2 linked regions of the Caenorhabditis elegans genome follow. The protein of the gene in region 1 interacts with the protein of each later gene in a pairwise test. Each region holds a gene or a part of one and is shown in the gene's direction. Other genes may lie near its edges.

What was found.
Region 2: the proteins of phm-2 (region 1) and gldr-2 interact in a two-hybrid assay, tested with the Caenorhabditis elegans proteins (2 studies listed by BioGRID).

The regions. Positions count from the first base shown.
Region 1 is NC_003279.8:11,512,526-11,522,808, forward strand, and holds the start of phm-2 (Pharyngeal muscle protein 2), read left to right. Parts: upstream 1-5,032; 5' UTR 5,033-5,040; coding exon 5,041-5,094; intron 5,095-5,148; coding exon 5,149-5,217; intron 5,218-5,222; exon of another isoform or gene 5,223-5,321; coding exon of another isoform or gene 5,322-5,354; intron 5,355-6,021; coding exon of another isoform or gene 6,022-6,193; intron 6,194-6,547; coding exon of another isoform or gene 6,548-6,666; intron 6,667-6,941; coding exon of another isoform or gene 6,942-7,058; intron 7,059-7,448; exon of another isoform or gene 7,449-7,577; intron 7,578-7,742; coding exon of another isoform or gene 7,743-7,961; exon of another isoform or gene 7,962-8,090; intron 8,091-9,306; coding exon 9,307-9,472; intron 9,473-9,599; coding exon 9,600-10,283. Other genes in the region: F32B4.1 (Nucleotide-diphospho-sugar transferase domain-containing protein), read left to right, coding at 100-244; F32B4.2 (Peroxisome biogenesis protein 3-2-like), read right to left, coding at 415-477, 523-668, 994-1,288; abhd-11.1 (AB hydrolase-1 domain-containing protein), read left to right, coding at 2,602-2,661, 2,720-3,113, 4,009-4,322, 4,458-4,583; F32B4.5 (KCTD8/12/16 H1 domain-containing protein), read right to left, coding at 5,322-5,354, 6,022-6,193, 6,548-6,666, 6,942-7,058, 7,743-7,961.
Region 2 is NC_003279.8:15,032,273-15,044,497, forward strand, and holds gldr-2 (PAP-associated domain-containing protein), read left to right. Parts: upstream 1-3,736; 5' UTR 3,737-3,992; intron 3,993-4,096; exon of another isoform or gene 4,097-4,102; 5' UTR 4,103-4,104; coding exon 4,105-4,231; intron 4,232-4,280; coding exon 4,281-4,392; intron 4,393-4,447; coding exon 4,448-4,634; intron 4,635-4,678; coding exon 4,679-4,998; intron 4,999-5,466; coding exon 5,467-5,735; intron 5,736-5,780; coding exon 5,781-5,996; intron 5,997-6,498; coding exon 6,499-7,126; intron 7,127-7,274; coding exon 7,275-7,522; intron 7,523-7,576; coding exon 7,577-7,769; intron 7,770-8,002; coding exon 8,003-8,129; 3' UTR 8,130-8,215; downstream 8,216-12,225. Other genes in the region: F33H2.8 (TPT domain-containing protein), read right to left, coding at 4-98, 366-557, 660-767; F33H2.3 (Acidic leucine-rich nuclear phosphoprotein 32-related protein 1), read left to right, coding at 2,260-2,856, 2,912-3,004; cyn-5 (Peptidyl-prolyl cis-trans isomerase 5), read right to left, coding at 8,337-8,744, 8,794-9,000; bltp-2 (FMP27/BLTP2/Hobbit GFWDK motif-containing RBG unit domain-containing protein), read right to left, coding at 9,613-9,651, 10,390-10,635, 10,688-10,879, 10,929-12,225.

The DNA.
Region 1 (10,283 bases):
AGATAATTTCTAAACCGTGCAACTTTTGCCATTTCAACAATTTTTAACAATTTCTGGCAAATTTTAGCCTATTTTATTCCAAATTTTCCATATTTTCAGATACGACCAATCAATAATCAATCTGGTGCTTGCCAACCAATTCTGGTACGATCGAAGGTACTATGTCAGTGAAATCGTGGACTTTTTCCATATTGATCGGAGTGGTTCGATAGGTCAAATTGAGGACCAGAGGCAGTGTATTTGAGGCGAGTAGGCATGCCTGCCTACAGTTGTTTTGCATTTTTTTTTTGTTTCCTGTGACGTCATTTATTTATGGGTACCCACTTTATTTTGCTCACATAAAAAAATTAATCTTACTATTTTAAACATTCTTAAAAAAATCTCGAGTTTTGAAAAAAAAAAAAGAAGTTGAGCTTAGTCGAAATGCTGGGCAATAGTCTCAATGGCGAGCTCGTCTTGGAGAAGCTGGTGAACACGCTGAAAATGCACAAAAATTCGAAGTAAAGGCTGAACATTCCATACCAAGTCAGCCGATGGGAGGTACTTTTGAATATTGGCAAAGTGAGCCGGTGAAATCGAGCCGCGGAGCACTTTGAGCAGCTGAGCAGTCTCTCCGGTGAGCACGATTGCGTTGGCCATGTGGATTGCGCCGAGCTCCTCGGTTTCTTCTGGAAAATTCATTATGTAATTTTGATGCAAAAAAATTTTGAAATTTTTGCGTTAAAACTGTGGAATATGTCCTCTCCAGGTCAGTAGCTCCGCGAGTTTTGAAGATATCAAAAAAGTATAAACTAACAAAATGTTAAGCGTAAAATTTGCTTGTAGTTGAATACTTTTTAATATCTGTAAAATTTGCTGAGCAACACGGCTGCAAACATAAGCAAAATGTTTTTTGAGAATTTATTTTTCAAACTTCCCTAACTTTGTGAATTTTCAACATTTTCCTTACTTTTTTATGCCAAAATGCTCAAAATTTTCTCATCTACAACTCACCATCCTCCAAATAAGCTTCCCCCAAATCCATCTGCTCCATGAACAGCTTCTCGCAGACTCTTCTCACATTTTCATCCTCAATATTGAACTTTGCCTTCGAATCGGCTCCTCCATCGGCTCTGGGCTCCGATGATGACATCATGACAACATCGTTGGACTCCGATGACGTGGCAGATGAAGTATCAGAGCTTTTCTTTTTCTGGCTCCAGTAGTAGTAGGCGGCAATCGCCAGAAGAGCGGCTCCGCCGACGACGACGCCGGTCACCAAGACTGGGCAACGGAACGGGCGGTGCATTTGTTTTCGCGTAGAAATTATCGATTGATTATTTCGAAATAAATTTGAATTTGAAAATTCCAACAGTTTGGTGTTTTGCTACGTGGCACGGGAGAAATTTATTTTTGAAAAATAGATTCACGGGGGGGGGGGGGGTCACGAAATTTCAAAAATAATTTTTATTTAAAAAATATGTTTCAAGAATTTTTAAAACCATTTTTGCAAAAGATTACTGTACCTTTCTGTAGCCTACACTAAAAAAATTTTGGAAAAAAAAATGCTGAGTTATATGTATGAATAGACAATTCTGCATGTAGACAGATATTGGTTTTTGGATTTTTGAAGGGGGTTTGGGCATGTAGATGTTTAAAAATCAGTCTGAAAGATTGTCGATATCCGGAAATTCACAAAACCGGCAATTGCCGGAATTGCCGATATTCACAAAACCGGCAATTGCCGAAATTGCCAAAAATTCACAAAACCGGCAATTGCCGGAATTTCCAAAAATTCACAAAACCGGCCATTACCGGAATTGCCGACATTCACAAAACCGGCAATTGCCGAAATTGCCGGAATTGCCAAAAATTCACAAAACCGGCCATTGCCGGAATTGCCAAAAATTCACAAAACCGGCCATTGCCGAAATTGCCGATATTCACAAAACCGGCGATTGCCGAAATTGCCGAAATTGCCAAAAATTCACAAAACCGGCAATTGCCGGAATTGCCGATATTCACAAAACCGGCAATTGCCGAAATTGTCGGAATTGCCGATATTCACAAAACCGGCAATTGCCGAAATTCCGAAATTGCCAAAAATTCACAAAACCGGCCATTGCCGGAATTGCCGGAATTGCCGAAAATTCACAAAACCGGAAATTGAAGGAATTGTCACAAATTTCCAAAACCGGCAAGTGTCGGAATTTTTGCCGGAATTGCCGAAAAATCACAAAACCGGCAATTGCCGAAATTAAAAATTCTCTATATGATCAAAATTATCTTCAAAAAACTGAGCAAACTGCTTTAAATTTGCAAAGAAAAAGGTACTACAGGGTAAAAACCGATTTGAAGGCTTCTAAAGCATACCTGCCTGCCTATGGCCTACCCCTTTGCTTGTAGGTTTTCGGGGAGTGTAGGTAGGTACGAGGTAGGCAGCTAGATACCTCTAAAATCTTGAAATTTTCCCACGCCAGATCACGATGAGACGAGACTCTGATCTTTCCTCCATTTTGCTAACAGACAGACCGCCCATTAAAATGGAAATTTCAAATGGTCGCTGATCACAAAGAACGAAATAAAAGCCCGGGAAAAGCTCTGCTGGAGATCATCGGAAAAATGAACTCCAAACTTCTCAACCTTGCTCGCCGCTTCCCTCACTCGGATTCCACGTCTTCAGTGAGTCAAAATCAATAATTAAATACAATTTTTAGCTCTAGATTTCTCGATATTTCAGATGATGCTGGCGAATCTCACATTTGGAAATATGAGATCCAAAGGAACCCCACTAATCCTGGTACCTGGGCTCTTTGGAACAAAAGAAAACTGGATCCAAGTCGGCAAAGATCTCAGTCAACGTCTCGGATGCATGGTGTTCGCAGTGGAGAACCGAAATCATGGGAGCTTTTCCAAAGCGGCATCGATGACTTACGAGGAGATGGCTGATGACTTGGTCGGATTCATTGATTGGGTTCGGAAGATTACTGGAGAGGATAAAGTGAATCTTCATGGACATTCGATGGGTGGAAAGGCGGTTACACAGCTGGCGACAACACCAGAATATTCTTCGAGGATTAAGAGTTTGATTGTCGAGGATATGTCACCGTTGGGGTATCCGTTGAAGAGAGCTGGTAGGTCCATGGGCTCCCATGGAGTGTATTTAGAAGAGGCTGGGCGGCAAACAATTTTTCTGGCAAATCGGCAAATTGCCGGAATTAAAAATTACCGGGAAATGGGCAAATCGGCAAATTGCCGGAATTAAAAATTACCGGGAAATGGGCAAATCGGCAAATTGTCAGCGGAATTCAACTTTCCAGAAAATCGAAAAATTGCCGGAGTTGAAAATTATCGGCAAATCGGCGAATTGGCGGCAACTTTTCATATCCGCCAATTTGCCGATTTGCCGAAAAGTTTCAATTTTGGCAGTTGCCGATTTGCCAAAAAGTTTCAATTTTGGCATTTGCCGATTTGCCGGAAATTTTGAAATCAGGCAATTTGCCGATTTACCGATAGGCCGAGCATTTTCAAATCCGGCAATTTGCCGATTTGCCGGAAATTTCAACTCCGGCAGTTTGCCGATTTGTCGGAAATTCTATTTTCGGCAATTCTCCAATTTTCCGATAAGTTTCAATTTTGGCAATTGCCGATTTGTCCATTTGCCGGAAATTGTCCAATCCGGCAATTTGCCGATTTTCCGGAAATTTCAATTTCGGCAGTTTGCCGATTTGCCAAAAAGTTTCAATTTTGGCAATTGTCGAATTGCCGGAAATTTTGAAATCAGGCAACTTGCCGGAAATTTTCAATTCCGGCAATTTTCAATTCACGCAGTTTGCCGATTTGCCAAAAAGATTCAATTTTGGCAATTGTCGATTTGCCGGAAATTTTGAAATCAGGCAATTCGCCGATTTACCGATAGGCCGAGCATTTTCAAATCCGGCAATTTGCCGATTTGCCGGAAATTTCCACTCCGGCAGTTTGCCGATTTGCCGGAAATCAATTCGAAATACAACTCCCCAATTATTCCAGAATACCTCGAATGTATCAAACAAATGATCGCCACTGATATGAACAAATCGCGAAGCGAAGTGATGGCGGAGCTCGGCGAAAAAGTGTCAAAGGTGCTGCTCTACCAATTTGTGCGCGGAAATTTGGGTGAAGATGTGAACGGAAAAGCTCATTGGATATGCAATCTGAATGTTATCGATGAGACATACATTTATCTGCTCAGCCACGACATTCGGTTCGGAGTTTTCGATGGTCCGACTCTGTTCCAGCGGGCTCCTGGCTCGGGATTCCTTCCGGCGGCTCATAAGAATCGAGTAGAGAAAATGTTCCCAATGGTAAGGAAATATAAGGTTTTCGACTAGTTTGATCTTTAAAAATGGCGGGAAAATAATCTAGAAGGGTGTGAAGACAAGCAATAGGCTAAAAATCGATAAATTTTGAAAAATAAGCTCAAAAATTCAAATTCACAGGTGCAATTCGCCGAAACTGCCTGGTCGAACCACTGGATTCATGCTGATGACCCGAAATTCTTTGTCGACTCGATTTGCGAGTTCCTGGAGGAACCTGATCAGCTTGGAATGAGAGCTTACATTTAAATTATGAAATTTGACATGGAATTCCAGCAGTTTTAGCAGTTTTTCCTCAATTTATTCGATAAATTTCTTGAATTTTACATAATTCGTTTATAATAAATGGGTTTTCTCTTATTATTCGTTTGAAAAATTGCGTTTTTGGCCTGCAAAAATATTCTAATTTGAATCTCCCTCGCTTTTCACGAAACGCGCCAACCAGTGGTTGCTGGCGCGTTTCTCGTGAGCTTGCGCGAACGCTGCGCATTTCTTTTTTTCTCATTTCTCATCTTTTCTGCGTAAAATTATCCAATTTTTCTCTTTTTTTTTAAATTTTTCACGCCAAATTAAGAATTTGCTTACGTGGCAATCGTTTGAACCGCCTAAAAAAAAGCCCGTTATTTTCGTCGAAAATCATGTTGTCGCCGAGTTGGTGTTTTATCGATTTTTTTCCACCGAAAATTTTCGATTTTCAGAGCAAAATATGCCGTTGGAAAGCGGAAAATTGATCAATGACTTGCGTGTTAGTGAATTGAAGGTAAGTGAATCATTTTTTCCACTGGAAATTCCCTATAAAATGCACTTTTTGCAGACAGAGCTCGAGAAGCGTGGTTTGAGTACTCAAGGAGTCAAGGTTGTGCTCACTGTTCGTTTGAATAAGGTAAAAATGTGTGATGTATTTATTTATCGTCGAATCTCCTGTCAAAATTGAAAAATTACAAAAAAAAACAATTTATTTGAAAAATGCAATAAAAGTCCACGTTGCTAGTTGCTACCAGTGTCCGATGGAGGGCAAAGCTGCAAAAAAATCGATATATAAATTCGGTTTCCCACCAATTGAAAGCGATACTTCTCGAATTTCCGGCCCAACTTTCCCGGAAAAAAGAAAAAGGGCTCCCCTCCCCCCATAAATTGTGCATTCTATTCACCACTTGTGTGATCAAATTAGCGTCTCAAAATGCATAGAAAAAGGGCGCTGGCTAATGAGATGAACGGAACTTGAAGAAGAATTGGCTGCTTTTTTTCCGGCGAAAATCCATTTCCAACGGCTCAGACATTTTCGAGCTCCCCTTGTGAGCACACACGTTCCGGTGGAAGAGCACGTAAAAGCGGGGGGAAAAGAAGATGAAGCCGCCCGTGATTTGATTTGAAGGGAAAATTGGAAGAAGAAGAAGAAGGAAAAAGCTTTTAAGCGGATAGAGACAAAGTTCCCTTTTGTTCACCTCACCAACTTCCGGGAAAAGTGGCGTTACTGGACGAATTGTGGGGGTTTCTACAAGCTAATGCAATGAAAATGACGAATTTTGAAGGAAAAATCAACTAATTTGATGTTAGCAGGGAAATTTTCCGACGTTTAGTGTTTTTTTTTTCACAAAAAAAATGATTTCCTAACATCAAATTAGACCAATTTCAATTCAAAATTCGATATTCTCAGCTCTAACTTTTTTCATCGTCAATTTCCTACCTTTGGCTGTCGATGGAAAACAAATTGAGAATGATGAATAAATTGCGAGTCATCTTTCGCCGCATGTTTTGGCATCTCGGACGGCGCAAATGTGTTGGAATGAATAAGTCGGTAGCCGGAAGACGCGAGTTGGTCGAACGCTTTCTCTAAGTTGCTGTGTTTTAGGAAGAATCTGGAAAGAGAGGATTGGGTTGAAGCTTTGAAATCTGGTTAACTTGTCATTTGGTAGTGCTGAAATACCAATCGTTCTGCTCAAATATTATGTTTCAAAAAGAGCTTATGAGCTCTTCTTGTGAAACTGTCGATTTCCGCTAGTGTACTCCCCCGTGTGGTGTGATCTACAAAAAATGCGGATATTTTTCCCCAAAAAAATTTCACGTCAGCACGCATTTTTTGTAGATCAAACGGAGACGGAACATTTTTTAATGGTTCAGAAATCAGCTATTATAGCTAGAAACTGTAAATTTCGCGTAAATCTACATGACGGGTTTTCAGTATTTCTGGCCGCGAAAAAGCCTGTCTCTACCTAGAAGTGTAGCGATCCATCTCGAAATCCGTGCCTCCTCCGTCTCTACACTCGTTCAACGAATCGCCGAACACTGCTCGGCACATGATTACTTTTCCGGATACGACGATTCGTAGAACCTGAAAATATCCTTTTTCTCGACGTCAAAAATGATGAGCATTTGTCTGTGTGTGTCTCTCTTCTCTTAACATACATATTCCCCTATTGCTGTATTCATAAGCAATAATAGGGGAAAATTGATGGGAGAAAACCGCAAGAGAAATGAACAGAAAAAAGGAAAAAAAAACGAGAGCAGGAAAAATGGGCTTGTTGTTGTTCCCTTTACTGGTTCGGGATTTGATGACGCGAAAGCTTTTCCTGTTGTTTTTTGAGCCATAAAATGGATATTGTGTACCTTTCGAAACGTGACTTCTGGATTGATACGTCCGGTTGAGAGAGCCGCATGACAAGAGATGCTAATGGTTGACGGGCAGGCGGCCTCCACAAATGAAATGAGCCCAAGACGTTTGGCCTGGAATAAAGAGCAGCGATTCTTGGTTTCGGTGCATTTCCTGCTTTATCGTGAACACACGTGATGCCAGGCTGTCCCATCACGGTTTGATCTACAAAAAATGCGGGAATTTGTTGTCCAAAAATATGTGGCATCAGCACGTTCTTAACCATACGAAATCAGTTGAGAATTCTGTGTCTCTTCTCCCGCATTTTTTGTAGATCTATGTAGATCAATCCCATATGAGACACTCTGACACCACGCGTGAACGTTCAATTTTCCCACGGCAAGATTATGCCAAGATCTTATTCTGCGTTCAAGGATGATCGAATTCACTACCAGAAAGCTTAATAGTGTGTTCCCCAAGTAAACGATAATTTTTTTTTGAAATTTTGTCCTAAAATATCCAAAATAGGAGTTTTGAGACAATTTTGAGCATTTTTGAGCATTCTAGCTCCCATTTTCGCCAATCAATCTGGTAATTGAGCTTAGGGGGAATTTTTATGCTGGGGAACGAAAAGCTAAATTATGCATTTCCACGGTGAAATGCTCATTATCCTAATTGAGCTCCATCTAGAAATGACAGAATTATGGGATTTTTTTAAATCTCGTATAGCTCTTTCTCATTTCGGAATCCATAAATCCAAAGCAGCCGAGCTCTTACAAAAAGCTTCCATTAACTGCTCGCGGAGCCCATAGACTCACCTCAACGGCCAATCGGGCCCACTGATCGAAAGATTCGGAGACGATAATGCTCATGTCACTGCGACGAAGCGCCTCGACGAGGATCCGCACAATCTTGTCATCTGAATCAGACGTTGCGTCGGGCGAAGTGGCGAGCAACGATTGTGGAGCACGTTGAAGTGTGGCACGAGTCGTTGAAATTGTTGCTCCGTGAGCACAAATAATTTGTGCAACTTGCATGTATGTGTGTGTGCGTTCACTTCTTCGTTTATCTCTAGTGTTTGTTAGCAGAAAGAAAGAAGAAGAATAGGAGGCAAAAGAGGACGTCAAAGACTCTTCAGAAGACTGAAGAAAACCCGCAAAACGGGAGAGGAGCCCCCCAAGAAGAAGGCCACGCCCAATTTTGTGCTCCATTTCTGTGTCTCTTCTCTCGTGTGCTCTCCCAGTTCTTTTTTTGAATGTTTGGGAGATGCGCGAAAAGTCGAGTGTTTACAGTGGGAATAATGATTGTGGAAAAATAAAGTTTTTCTCCATTTTCCGATATTGGTATTAGTTTCAGCTCCGCCGACGAGCTAAATAAATTTTGTTTGACTCAGCGCCTTGGGGGGCCCGCTTTTTGTTTTTGTTCCAGCAGCGGCACCAGAGCTCGCGTGAAGCTCCAGACTCGATGTCATTGGCACGTCTTCTTCTTCTTCTTTTTCTTTTTTTTCCCCTTTTTCACCCCGTCTCATCTAAAGTTTGTGTACATATATACACATACATAACACGGAGGAGAAATAGAGAAGGATGGCGGCGCAGTTGAGGAAAAATGATGAATTATACTGCTTCTTCTTCTTCTTTTGCCACCATTTTTGCAAAGGGTGTTCGGAGAGAGTTTACGGGATGAAGAGACGCAGGAAACTCGGAGTTTCTTAACATGGCGCTCTTCGTTCTTTTTTTTTTTTGGTGCTTTTGGTGAATGGGTGGGTGGCAATTTGTCAGCAGTCAGTCACTTTTGAAGTTTCCGGCGGCGAGATTTCTATCTTTGTTAGCTGCTGGGTTCCGGTTGTCTCGTTTGTCTCGCGGAGCCCGTTTTCCCATTACGGTTTGATCTACAAAAAATGCGCGGGAATTTTTGGCCCAGAAAATGTGACGTCATCGCGTTCTGAACAGTTTAGATTTATGCGTCTCTTCTCGCGCATTTTTTGTAGATCTACGTAGGTCAAGACGAAATGGGACACTCTGACACCACGTGTGAAATGAGAAGGCACGTGGATTCCAGGCTTTGTCGATTTACGCAGCTCTCGTGTACTCCTCCTGAGGAAGAGATATTTGAACGTTTTTGGCGAAAAATTGTTGATTTTTAATCATAATTCTGGTCATTTTACCCTTTAATTATAGGGTTTTAAGTGGAAATTGATTTTTTGTTCCACAGTAAATACATCGATTTTCACTTAATTTCCTACAGGATAAAATGACCATAATTATGATTGAAAATCGACCATTTTTCGCCAAAAACGTTCAAATAATCTCAAAAAAAAAATTTCTAAATTGACATACATAGCCTTCAAAATTTAATTTTTAAGCCTAAAACCGCATTTTTCAGGCTCTCCGAGATGAGGGACTCGATCCAGCAGATCACGTATTCGAGCATGCAGTGAGCCCGATGAAAAAGAGCACACGCCGGAGCAACGAAATGGCACGAGCAGCGGCTGCAGCAGCAGCAGAAAAAGTGGAAAAGGGTGCAGGAGACGAAGGAAATGATGAGAATGGTTGGTTTTTTAGGCTTTTTTTTTTCGTTGATTTTTTGGTGGTTTCTTCTATTGTTGGAATTAGATTTACTTGATTATTGGGGGGTCAGTTTCATCAGGAACAATCAATGGAGTTTTTTTTTGTCAGTTTTAGTCGAGGAGAAGGAAGAAGAAGAGGAGGAGGAGGATTCACACGATTTGCAAATTATTGAGGATCATGAGTTGGAGGTGCCAAGTGATGAGAAAGATGATACATTGGTGGAGGATGAAGAGTTTGAGGAAGCTGAGCAAGTTGAGCCGGAGCCTGAGGCCGTGGAGCCAGTTGTCGAGGAGAAGCCCGAGGAGAAGCTTGAGGAGAAGCCCGAGGAGAAGCTTGAGGAAAAGCCCGAGGAAAAGCCTGTTGAGCCAGAAGTCGTTACAGTTGAGGAGCCGGTGGCAGAGGTTATTGAGGTGGAAAAGGCAGTCGCGGAGCCTGTTGAGCTGAAAGAGAAGCCGGAAAAGGAGCCGGAGGTTGTTCTTGTCGAGGAGCCCGTGGAGCAGCTGGAAAATGAGCCCGAAGTGGTGCCAATGGAAGTTGAAGAAGCAAAGAAATCGGATGAGCAAGACGGTGAGGACGAGTTTGAGGAGGATGATTCATCGTCGGATATTGAGATTATTGAGCCAACTCTACAAGAATCGGAGCCGCTAGCGGAGGAGAAAGTGGAAAAAAAGGAGAAGAAGCCAGAAGAAATTCCACACAATTTGGAGCAAAATGAGCCAATTTCTATGGAAACTGAGGAGAAAGTTGAGGAAGAAGTGATCATTCTCAACTCATCGATCAATAATGTCAGTC
Region 2 (12,225 bases), 3.5 Mb from region 1:
TACCTGACAAGAAACAGCTCTCCGGTTCTGTTGTGTGAGTTAGCAAGAGAGGCAATCAGAACCTCGAGTAGTTTGGCACCGGCTGCCGGGAGAAGTATCTGAAAAGATTTCCACGTGGCACTTTTTTTTTTGCATGTTTTTGAACTTGGCACAAATGAATTTTTGAAGCTACATTTTCCGCACGGTGAACTATCATATGTGTCTTGTAGTTTTCTTCTACACAAAAAACACTAAACTTACCGAAAACGGAAGATATTGACACAATACCTACGAGTACGGTAGCAGAAAAGTCTTGTTTGTGCCAAAATCCGATGTCACAATTTCGGATTAGGAGCTTTACTTGCAAATGGCGAAAACAAATTTACCTTCTTGGGAATATGCGCCTGTGGAATATAATTTGCAAAATGGATCAGTTTCAGAAAAATGAAGGTGAAGAAAAACTGGGCGAAGCTTGTGGCGATGAGCTTAATGTCCAATACAAAAAATAGTACATTATGAGCCGCCGAGAGCACAAATGCCGATGCAAGTTCAAGGAGAAAGTAGTAACCAGCTTCTGACTGTAAATTATTTTATTTTTTGAAGCAAAATAGTGAGTTATTTTTTTGGATTAAAAATCTTGTTTTTAAATCGAAAATCAATACAATTAAAAAAAATCAAACCTTTGAAACCTCCTTTTTCTCAGCTGACATTTTGGTAGCAAACTCAGTGAAATCTATGTGGAATACTGCAGGGATATGTTCGTTTCGTTTCACAGAGAAGAGGCGCATCGAACAATTTGGGGCATCTTGATGAGATTTTATCGAATTCTCGGAGGTGTGTAGTAGGTTTTATGGATTTCAGAGTGGATTTCAGAGTGAAGTCATTGAACTTTCTGGGAAACATCTGGGAAACAATATCCGACAAAAGCTCAAAAACGCATAGAAGATTTAGTTTTAATTTGATTGATCCCAATTAGTTCACTTTATGTATTTTTTCACACAGAAAAATACAATTTTCGCTCATTTTTTTGTGAAAAAAATACAAATTTCTATTCAATAATCATATTGTTCAATATATGTTCTATATATGTTCTATAATTTTTCCTTTCGCCAGCTCACTTTCCAGAGAAGCTCTCGATCCGCCCTCGATCCGCCCCTAAACCTGCCCAGCGGAGTAGCATATGAGACTTATGCCGTTTGATGAACCATGTTTAGAAACGGTTATCCGTAAACTTTTAGCTGCAAGTCTCCATAATCAAGCTCACGACATGCTCTTAAAGACATCTAAAACAACACTGTAACGTAGCACTTAGGGATCAATATTCACTTCGGAAACTCATGTCTCCGCGGATTTTGATGGAAAAGTTATCAACTTTACACGTTTGGAGTTGAAAGTTTTTTATCAAAAAAATCTTTGTTTGAGATTAAAGCATGTGAAGTGCGGTAAATGTTATTGTTAAATATGTTAATGCTGTTGATGCAATTTTTATGCTTATATCTGGAAAATTTTGAAAATTGACCCATTACAAAGGAAGTAGATGAAATTAATCTCAGACTTTGACATGACATGGTATTTTTCCGATCAAATAGTATTATCCATACCAAAATCAGAGATTGAGTTCGTCTACTTCCCTTGTTAGTGTTTGCAGTTACATTGTTGTTTTCGCTTTCTTTGAGCGTACGCCGTGAACTTGGTTCTGAAGATTCGCCGCTAAAAATTTTCAAATCACCGTTTCTAAACATGGTCTATCGACTGACATAAGTCTCTTATGCTATTCCTCTGAGCACCTTCACATGTTCCCCTCGTCAGTGGTGTACAAACGCGCTCCACTGCTAATGCATTTGATTCTCAGCGCGCGCAACCAAATTTGTTTTTCGCGCGCTCTCCTCCTAATTTAGGCCTTTTTTCTTGGCAGTGTATCGATTTTGTTCGTTCGTTGAGCGTTGCGCGTTCATTGTCATTATAGAATCGTATATAAAGCGAATAGAATCAGTCTATTCGCTTGGAATTTTTAACATAGCCTTCCAAAATTTGCTGCACCATCGTTTCATTGATTTTATCCGTGTTTCTTGAGTCATTCGTGCGTGATGTAAGAAACTGGACTCTAAATGGACTAAGCATTTTTATACTGATTGTGACCGTCTAAATAGCTTTTTTTATTCGACTTGTTTCCAATTCGGAAAGAAACTCCATTTTCTGTTCGATTTTTTAATTTTCTCTCTTGTCTCTTACATCTCAACTTTATTTTAATGCCTCTACCTTCAGACTACATCCTCAATCATGCCGTCTATGGCCGAAATCTACGTCAAAGAGCTCAGAGAGAGGGATCCAGCTACTGTCGATACTCTATTCCTCGACAACGCTGAAGATGGACAAATCGGAGGACTCACCGACCAGCTTATCAACTTGGAGATGCTCAGCATGGTGAAGTGCGGACTCACCACACTCGCCGGGTTCCCAACTCTTCCAGCTCTTACCTATTTGGATATCAGTGACAATCAGCTTGGAGACAACGCTTCGTTTGATGTTCTTGTGAAAAATGCTCCAGATCTTAAGAAGATCACACTCGCCAGCAACAAGCTCTCTTTGGATAATCTCCGGTGCTTAAAGGTTCTTCCAAATCTTTTCGAGCTCGACTTGTCGAATAATCCAAGTCTCGGACTCCTCGAGGACTATCGTGAGAAGATGTTCGAGATGATTCCATCGCTGAAGATTCTTGATGGATGCGATGTTGATGGAGAGGAAGTTGAGGAGGAGTTTGCCGGTGAGGGAGGAGAAGACAGCGAGGAGGGAAGCGGCGATGAAGATGGACCCGGACTCAGCTATCTCGAGAAGAGCCAGTTCTCCGACGACGAGACTGACGATTATGCTCCAGAGGTTAGTTTTCGGACTCATATTTCAGAAACGTATGTTCTTAATTTCAATTTTTCAGGGAGGAGACGCTGAACCACGTGGGACAAAACGTGGAGCTTCTGATAACGGAGAAGAGCCAGACAACAAGAAGGCAGCTGGCGACGACGAGTAAACTTCGACGCCTACGGACTCATCATCTCAACCTAATATATTTATTTCAAATATTTTTTCCAAAAAAACTTCCCTCATTTTCTTTATGGCTGCGCTGTACACTAAACCCCAACTTTAATGATCTGAAAAACTGAACCCAAACCACCAGACACTGCAACAACTTTTTGATGAATAAAAAATCTTTAACATTAATCTATCGTTTTATTTTCTTTTGTGGCTTTTGTGTGCATTCTATACCATATTATATTACTGAAACACTGAATTCTGAGAATGCGTATTGCGCAACATATGTATATCTTGCAGCGAAAACTACAGTAATTCTTTAAATAACTACTGTAGCGCTGATCAGATTTTACGTTGTTTATTTTCTAATTTTTTGATGAAAACTATAAAAAAGGCATCGAATTGACAAAAAACACGAAAAATTAGAGGAAAATTAAACATCGCCTGCCACAATCCTAAAAACAATTTGTTTCGAAAGTATCAGCTACAGTAGTCATTTAAAGAATTATTGTAGTTTTCACTACGAGATATTTTACGCGTCATATATGTTGCGCAATACGCTATTAATACGGATTCTCAGAATTTATTGTTCCCGTAATAGTTCTGCCTGTGTGTAGCGCAAACTTCAAAAGTCAATAAACTCGAAATTTGAAAAATTGCCAAAAACGAGACTCCGAAATAACGGGCGCGCGTGTTGTTTAGCGCTTTCAGTCCACATTACTTTTCCCCCACATTTCTCCCAATTTGTTAGGTTTTGCTCATATTTTCCCACATTCGAAGTATTGAGAGTTTATTTTTCCATAAAAGAACCGATTTTCTTCCTAAATCCAGCTGTGCGGTCATTTTTCACGTAGGCATATTTTTTCTCACAATTTTAAGGATTTCTGCGTTCTTTATCAAATGAAAGGTCCCATTTCTTCCAATTTTTAGGTTTTCTGGTTCTCTGCGTTCCATCTTTGAATGAATCTTCGATTGTATTTTTATATGTAGGTTTTCTACTTTCATGTCTAGACATGTCTCCCAATAACGTTGATTTTCTTTTAGTTTTTAGGTTTTCTGCGTTTATTTTCATTAAGAATCAAATTTCCTCTTTCAGAAATGTCGAGAAAACGAAAAATGTCACAGTCGAAAAAGCCAAGCTTACCACGCCGTCCAATTATTCAAAATCTCACATTCATGGGAACTGAATTGGGATGCCCATTGTTAGTTCAGGACATGGATTCCAGTAAGACTAACAAAATTAAAAGAAATAAATAAATATATGTGTATTTCAGTGAACAAACGTGGTGAAGAGCCTCCGGAGAACGCTGACGTGAAGCGATTCATATCGTTCGCCACAATTCCAGCGTGTTGTCTGCATTCAAAAGGAACCGGCCAAGACGCTCAGTCAGTAAATTTACATATTATTATTGCAATTAAATCAATTCTTTTTAAATTTCAGGTCCGCAGACGAGTCGGCAGGTTACGCAATGCTCGACTTTTTCAAACTTTACATCTCTAATGGATTCAGAAGTAAACTTCTCAATTGTGCAAGTGATGAAGAAGTAAAAGAGTTGATTCCTCAAGTTCAACCACTTTTTGAACAATTCAAAGCTGCAATTGCAGCTGATTTTCTGTCGATCAGCAGAGTTTGAACGTCATTTCGAAATTTTGATTTAAAAAAGTTTTTCAGTGCACTCAATTCGAGTTGACTCCAGCAGCGAGGGCACGCGGAAAAGAGCTTAAAAAGCGTGTTCTGACAAATTTAAAAAACGCGGGAGTTGGATACACAACGGTTACTCCTAAGAAAACTTTAAAAAATGATGATGATGACGTGGAAGAAGACGTGCCGAATGAAACAGTGGACCCCAGTGATGCTCCAGGATCATCATCCAGTGATGATATTGTTATCGTTAGAGAAGTTGCGAGCGAAGCATCGCCCAAACTTCGCAAGATGCGAGAAATGGACGGAGCGAAGAAGAAGCTCATCGAAGAAGCTACAATGCGCCTGGGGTACTTTAATTCTGCGATTTTTGTCAAAAATTGTAATGCGAACCCGCGACGCAGATTAAATTGCTGAAAATTCATGTATTCCCGATTTTTTCGCTGGTTGTTCTGAAATTACGGGAAAATGCGTAATTCTAGTAAAAATAGACTCAAAATATTGAGTATAGTTACTAGGATTTTTGACATGTTAGCAAACCGATATATATCTAGCTAAACTTAACATTTAATTTTAAAATCCGTTGGAAATTAATTTTTTTAAAATAAAATAAAATACATGTAATGGGGTTATTCAAGTAATATAGCAAAATGTATGTAAATACATTTGTGACGTCACAAATGTATTTAAATACATGTTTTTATATACTTGAATACAGTCGTGACGTAATTTTTCTAATTTTCCGACACTACTTGAATAACCCCATAAGGTACAAAAATTGCTGCTAATCGTCTTTCAATGAAATGCTATTTTTTTAGTGAAAACCGCCGATCTCCATCTCTCGACTCTGACACCTACTTTGGAGAATGTCAACAGCTGCTTCACGGTCCAACAGAAGTCTACTGTGCCCGTCCCGAATCGAACCAGTTTGTCCAGCAGTACGAAGAAGCGAATTCAACTGAAGCATCTGAGGATGAAGACAAGGAAGCTGTACCGATGAAGCGTGCTCGAGTGGATATAGAAGAAGACGACGACGACGTCATTGTTCTGAATATGACCACCTCTTCTGGAGTTTCGGATAAAAAAGGTAAGTCAGAAGTCCAATCGCAGGCTTCTTAATGAAAAATTCAAGACGTTTCAGGTTCTGAGGACGAAATAGGTGATATAGTTGACGAGTGGGATGCAAATGACGAGGAGGAGAAGACTGACGAACTGGAAGAGCTTGAAGATGACGATATTCAGATAATTGAGGCAGGGGATCAAGGAAACGGTGTAGAAGAGGTCTCAAGCACAGTGATTTCGGTGGAGACTCCCAACAGTTCTTCAGATGAGAATAAGATCTACAATGGTACAGTTTGAGAGAAATGTATTCCTCACCTTACAGTTTTTGGTACTTGTGTATTACATGTCCTCGTTTTTAAAGTATTTTTAAATTATAAAAAATAAAAACGTGTACCATAGTTTTGTATCTGTAGGCTTAGGAAAGAACCATTTCTTAGCCTAAAGAGGAAAAGTGCATACAAAATTAAATTTAAATGGAGAAATTAATGAACATTTCATCTAATTTAAAAAGGATGACATGTAATACACAGGTACCCAGTTTTTGTTGAAATTCGAGGTGGTTACTGCAAGGAGCCAGAAAACACGTTAGATACAAAATCGGCCTGAGAGAAAATTATCAACTTTTCAGGCGTTTAAGGCGAAAAATCATACATTTTTAACACCAACACAAAAAAGATTGCTCCGAAATCAAAAATTGTAGGATCCTCCTCGAGGAGTACACGAATTGCGTATATCGACACTCGCCCAACTGTTCCATTTTCAAATATATAATACAAAATTATTTCCAGGCCACCAAACGCATCAAATTTTCCGAGAAGTTCGCCAGTTGCCAGTCAATTATCAGGCACGAACCATCGGTGTAGTGCTCAACGAGCGGATCGCTGGCTCCGTCGAGAAGTTTGTGAACTCGATCACCAAAAAGTCGTTCAATTCTGTCAAACAATTGTCTAAATTGGCATGGGATCACTACCTGGGAAATGCACAACCGGATTTTGTGTTTCTCAAGAAAATGGAGGCTCGTCAAAAGCTATTCTCGGAGATCAAGAAGCTGTTCCCTGACACAGAGATCAAGCTCCAGACAACTGGCTCAACAGTGAACGGATGTGGATCTTTCAACTCTGACATGGATCTTTGTCTATGCTTTCCGACAAATGGATATAAAGGACAAGTATGCGACGATTTTCACTGCGACAGAAATTATTCGACGAAAATTCTTCGCAAAATTGATAAGGCGTTTCGAAGATCGCATTGGAGCCATCCTCTGAAGAAGATAATCAAGACAATGCAGCTGGTGCCGGCGAAAGTTCCAATTGTGAAAATGATTTTGAATGGAGAATTTGATGGAATTGAGGTTGATATTAATGTTAATAATATCGCAGGAATATACAATTCACATCTCATTCATTACTATTCATTGTTAGTTTTTTTCTCAACAAAAAATCAGATATTTCAAAATTTCGGCTGAATTTAGATAAAATCTTCAATTTTGTAACCGAAAAAATTAAAATGTGTGCCAAGTTTGAAACGCAATTATGAAATTTGCAAGATTTGTTTCTATTTTCAGAACGGATGCCCGGCTCCCAGCTCTGGCCCTACTCGTGAAGCACTGGGCGATGGTTACTGGAATCAATAACGCACAGGACGGATTTCTGAATAGTTACACGACGATTCTTCTCGTTGTGCACTATCTTCAATGCGGTGTCACTCCAGCAGTCATTCCGAACTTGCAATACTTGTTCCCGCACAAGTTTGATCGAAAACTTCCGCTTAATGAGCTTCTTCTGTTTGGCGATATTGCGGACAAGTTGCCCAGTAATTTGAAGTGCTCTTTTTATTATCTGTCTTACTAAATTTAACCATTTTCAGCAAGTCCTCCCAACACGTGGTCGCTTGGAGAGTTGCTCATCGGATTCTTTCAGTACTATAATGAATTCGATTTCACTAATTTCGGATTTTCAATCCGCTCGGGTCAAGTCATTCCTCGGGAAAATCTCCCCCGTGATCTCATCAACAGTCCGATTGTCGTTGAGGAGCCGTTTGATGCGATCAACACAGCCAGGTGAATATTGGAAAAAATGACCGTGTGTCGAGGATAAGATTATTCAGTTTTTGGCTAAAAATTGATTTTGAATCAATTATTTTTTGTGTTCACGCTCAACTCAACATCTAAAATAGTATAGATGGTTGATTATAATTCATAATACCAAAAAAGAAAACATCAATTTCCTGTCTCACTTCAAACACGGTTTGACTGTTAATCACTGAAATATAAGCTAAAAACTAAATTTTCAGAACTGTACGCGATGTTAGCCACATGAAATCTATCAAATCCGCCTTCCGCTGTGCCGTCCAAATAATCTCTTCAAATAAAAATTTTACAATGCGTGATCTCGGTGTAAACGTCACAGAATTTGACTAAAAAGTTAATTTGTTCTTTTTTTTTATTCGCTTCTTTTTTCTTATAGTGTTCGTATAGTGTTAATCAATACATACTTTGTAATATTATTTAATTGGAAACGCACAAAAAAGTCGATAAATTAAAAAGAAACTCGAATTACTCTTTAATTCAGGTGTCTGAAGTCAGGAGAATCACAGATCGATATTTAAAAAGAGAAGTCATTTGAGCTTAGACGACGGCCTCGCGTTCAACAGAGAATGGAGTGTCGACGGCGATGTGTCCAGAAGCGGCGATGATGACGTCTTGCTTCGGGCGGTCCCCAGGAAGCTTCTCGGTCTGTTCGATCTTGCGGACCACATCCATTCCTTCGAGGATCTTTCCGAAAACGACGTGGCGTCCATCGAGCCATGGGGTCTTGACTGTGGTGATGAAGAATTGGGATCCATTGGTATCAGCTCCAGCGTTGGCCATCGACAACCATCCGGCTCCGTAGTGCTTCAGCTTGAAGTTCTCGTCGGCGAACTTCTCTCCGTAGATAGAGCGTCCTCCGGTTCCATCTCCACGGGTGAAATCTCCTCCTTGAATCATGAAGTCTGCGATGACTCGGTGGAACTTGCTTCCTGGATATCCTTCTCCCTGAAAATTAAAAAAAATATTTTGAAACTCGATTTCTTGAGCTGCAAACCTTTGGCTTCTTGGCGAGCTCAATGAAGTTGGTGGCGGTCTTTGGGACGGTTTTTCCGAAAAGTCCGATGACGATACGTCCGATTGGTTTTCCTCCAATTTCCATGTCAAAGTAGACCTTGTCAGTGACCTTTGGTCCTTTGGCATCGTCTCCCTGAGCAAGAGCTCCGACAGCGAGCACGGCCGCCACAACAAGAAGCGACTTCATACCTGCAAAAATTATGGTGTTATATTGCGAGCAAAAAAGTTTAAAAAAAAGCAATAGTAAGAAAATGTAAATAGTAAGAAAAGCAATAGTAAGAAAAAAGCGAAATATCGAATTGTTTGATAACAATAATTAAATACCACATTCGAAAAGACATGGTGATAAGAGTACATTAGACATTTTATGTTTAAAAATGAAAAAGTAAAGCCTTAAAAATGAAGAAATAAATACAAAACAGTTACCAGCAGGAACAATTGAGATGAGTTTTCTGAGAATGACCCGTGCTGAGAGGGAAGACGAAGAAAAAGAACACGTCAGCACACATAAACCACACGGTGCAACGTGGATAGAGCGATAGAGAGGGCAAACTGCAAGTGAGTGAGTGGAGGGTGACGAGAGAAAGAAGGGGAAACCGAGTAAAAGGTGACCAGTGACCATTTGGTAAATGTATAGGACAGGCGGTATGGTGGGGTGGTGGTAGTGTGGTACCAAATGCACACAAACAACAGCGCAGTAATATACTCGGGACGAGGGGGGGGAGGTGAAGACGAGACGAAGATCGATTGGCCTTGACCCGTTAATCGGAGAATGTGATGAGTGGCCGGACGCGAGGCGTCACTTCGGGGCTTTCAGTGTTTTTTGATCGTATGTTGTCTGGAAAAATCGATTGTTGTAGTGGAGAAGGATTATGATTTTAGATTTCACACGGCCCGAGAAGTGGTACCTGTACGCAATTTGTCTACCGTATACCTGGACGTTTGGGCGCGTGTATCTCAAAAACGGTTGGTCCAGTTTTTTTGTGATGCATATAAAAAATGTCCGAAATTAAATTCTAAATTTTTTGGACCAAAGCTTTTTTCGTTATCACGCGCCCAAACCTGGTCTACACTCAAATTATCAGTAGAGCGCATTTGCATGGATGTACCACTTGCCGGGCCGTGTTCAAAAAAAAAAAAAATTCTGAGAATGCGTATTAAACAACATATTTGACGCGAAAATATCTTGTAACGAAGACTACAATCGAATATTGCTGTCACTATTCGAATAGAAATACATTTCGAAAATCGAGCCCGTAAATCACAAGCTCTACAGTATTCTTTTAAAGAGTTACTGTAGTTCTCGCTACGAGATATTTTGCGCGTCAAATATGTTGCGCAAAACATATTCACAGAATTTTGTGTTACCGTAATTCGGCTGTAATATACTTATACGGATAATTTGTTGCGAACTCAGCCCGGAGCGCAAAGTGGAATCAATCGATTTTTTTTTAAATAAAAATTTAAAAACAAGTTATTATTAAGTAATCATTAGATCAGATTTTGTCAGCATTAAGATCAGAAAAAGCGGAAAATTTTTCTTCAAGTTTCTTTAAAATTTGAAACAAAAACCTACAATTCCCACTGCTATCCGCTTCTTCTCATCCTCACTGACTCCCTGTGGAATAGGATCGATAGAAAAATTGGAAATTCGATTTCTCAACAATTTCTGCTTCATAAACTGTTGTACGAGCACTCGTTTGCAGTGCTGCTTGACAGCCAACGCCAAGTCGAGCCACGTCCAATTTTGCTCATGGTATTCACAGAGGGGGAATATGAAGTTGAATTGGTTCACATCTATCAGGTTTTTGTCCTTGTTTCCCTATAAAAAAAACTCATTCATTTCATTTTCAATTTCCTTTCTGTGCTCTCACCTTATATGATACTACAAATGAAACTTCCGGAATTTTGATATACATAAAATGATTGACTTTGTCGGCGCGCTCCTTCATTCGATCAATGTCATCCTTTTCGTGAAGAGATTTCTGAAGCATAAGCTTCTCCGACGCAGATTTATTGCTTCGCATGCTAAGTGTGCTGGCAATTTTTCGTGTGAATGAGAAGGTCTGAAATATGAATATTACAATTATTAATTGGATACTGTTACAATCTCACCGAAACTTCTTCCTCATGATCCAGGTTATCATTCGTATGAATATTCCTGCCAGGAAAAAAGAATCTCATCATTTTATCAAATAATCGATGAGTAATCTCTGCAACCATGGGAGCTATGTTCAACTCAAAGTGCTCTTTGACACTTATACCTCCAACAGGAGGCATATCTCTTACGAATAGTCGAATGGCAGGCTGCCTTGAGAGTCTAGTCTCATCTCTGTGCAGAGCATGCTTGTATATTGAATCAGGAAGGAGGTTCGTAATCCGGACACTTCCAACTTCGAACAGGTGATCTCCACAGTTACTATCCCTAACTGTACGTGTATAGAGGAAATTTCGAATTTGCGTCTGTGCCAACGCAATCTGTCCATCACTTTCGGTCAGCTTCCAAGTGCAATCTTCGAAGCAAACTTCAAATCTCCTTACAACTTCCATCCCTTTCTTCGCACTTTTCTCATCAAACTCCTTCACCCGATTGACCTGTCGTTGCTTATAGCAACTAATATACGTGGCAAGTTTCTCAGATACCGTAAGCATTCGTTGCTTTGTATCCTCTGCTTCAAGTACGAGCTGATCTTCCGTGTACTCAACTGGTTGTTCGCAGTGCGAACCATTCATCGAATTCGAATTACCGTTGCTCAGGTAGAACAACTGCCGTTCCAGAAATCTTCCGAGTGAAACAATTTCTCTGAGTTCTGATTGATATCTCATGATTTTCGCTCGCAACTCCACCATCTCCATTATCTGACACTCGAATCTCAATCTCCTTCGCTTTTCGCCCATTTCTTTCTTATAGGGATCCACGAAAAGCGCTAAATTATTTACAATATCCACAACCATTTCGTATTGCTCCGAGTTACTTGTAGCTTCTAGCATATTATGCTTCAAAGTTAGAACATCTATTCCAACAGCGTCAGGGTTCAATGACTGATGTTTCGGATCTAATTGCGGTGGCACCGAGATATCTTCATTTGACTCTGTCTTCAGCTCATCGGAGAAGTAACAGAAATAAATCTGACAGCTACATCGAGAAACAATTCGCTGAAGTTGAACCTTCTCCTCTGATTCATCTGGCGCCTCCGACTGAACAACTCCACCGACGGCTTCTCCTGCTGCGGTGAACTTCTGCACAAAATCGTCAGCAAATCCACTGGTGTCCTGTTGACTTTTCTCATCGATCATTTCTCTAGGCAACCATCGGAATTTCTCCTTATTAGTGCCGGTCGCAGAAATTGGAGCAAAATATTGCATTCCAGAGATTTTGGCGCTCCATGATTTTTTGCTGAGAAGCAAACTT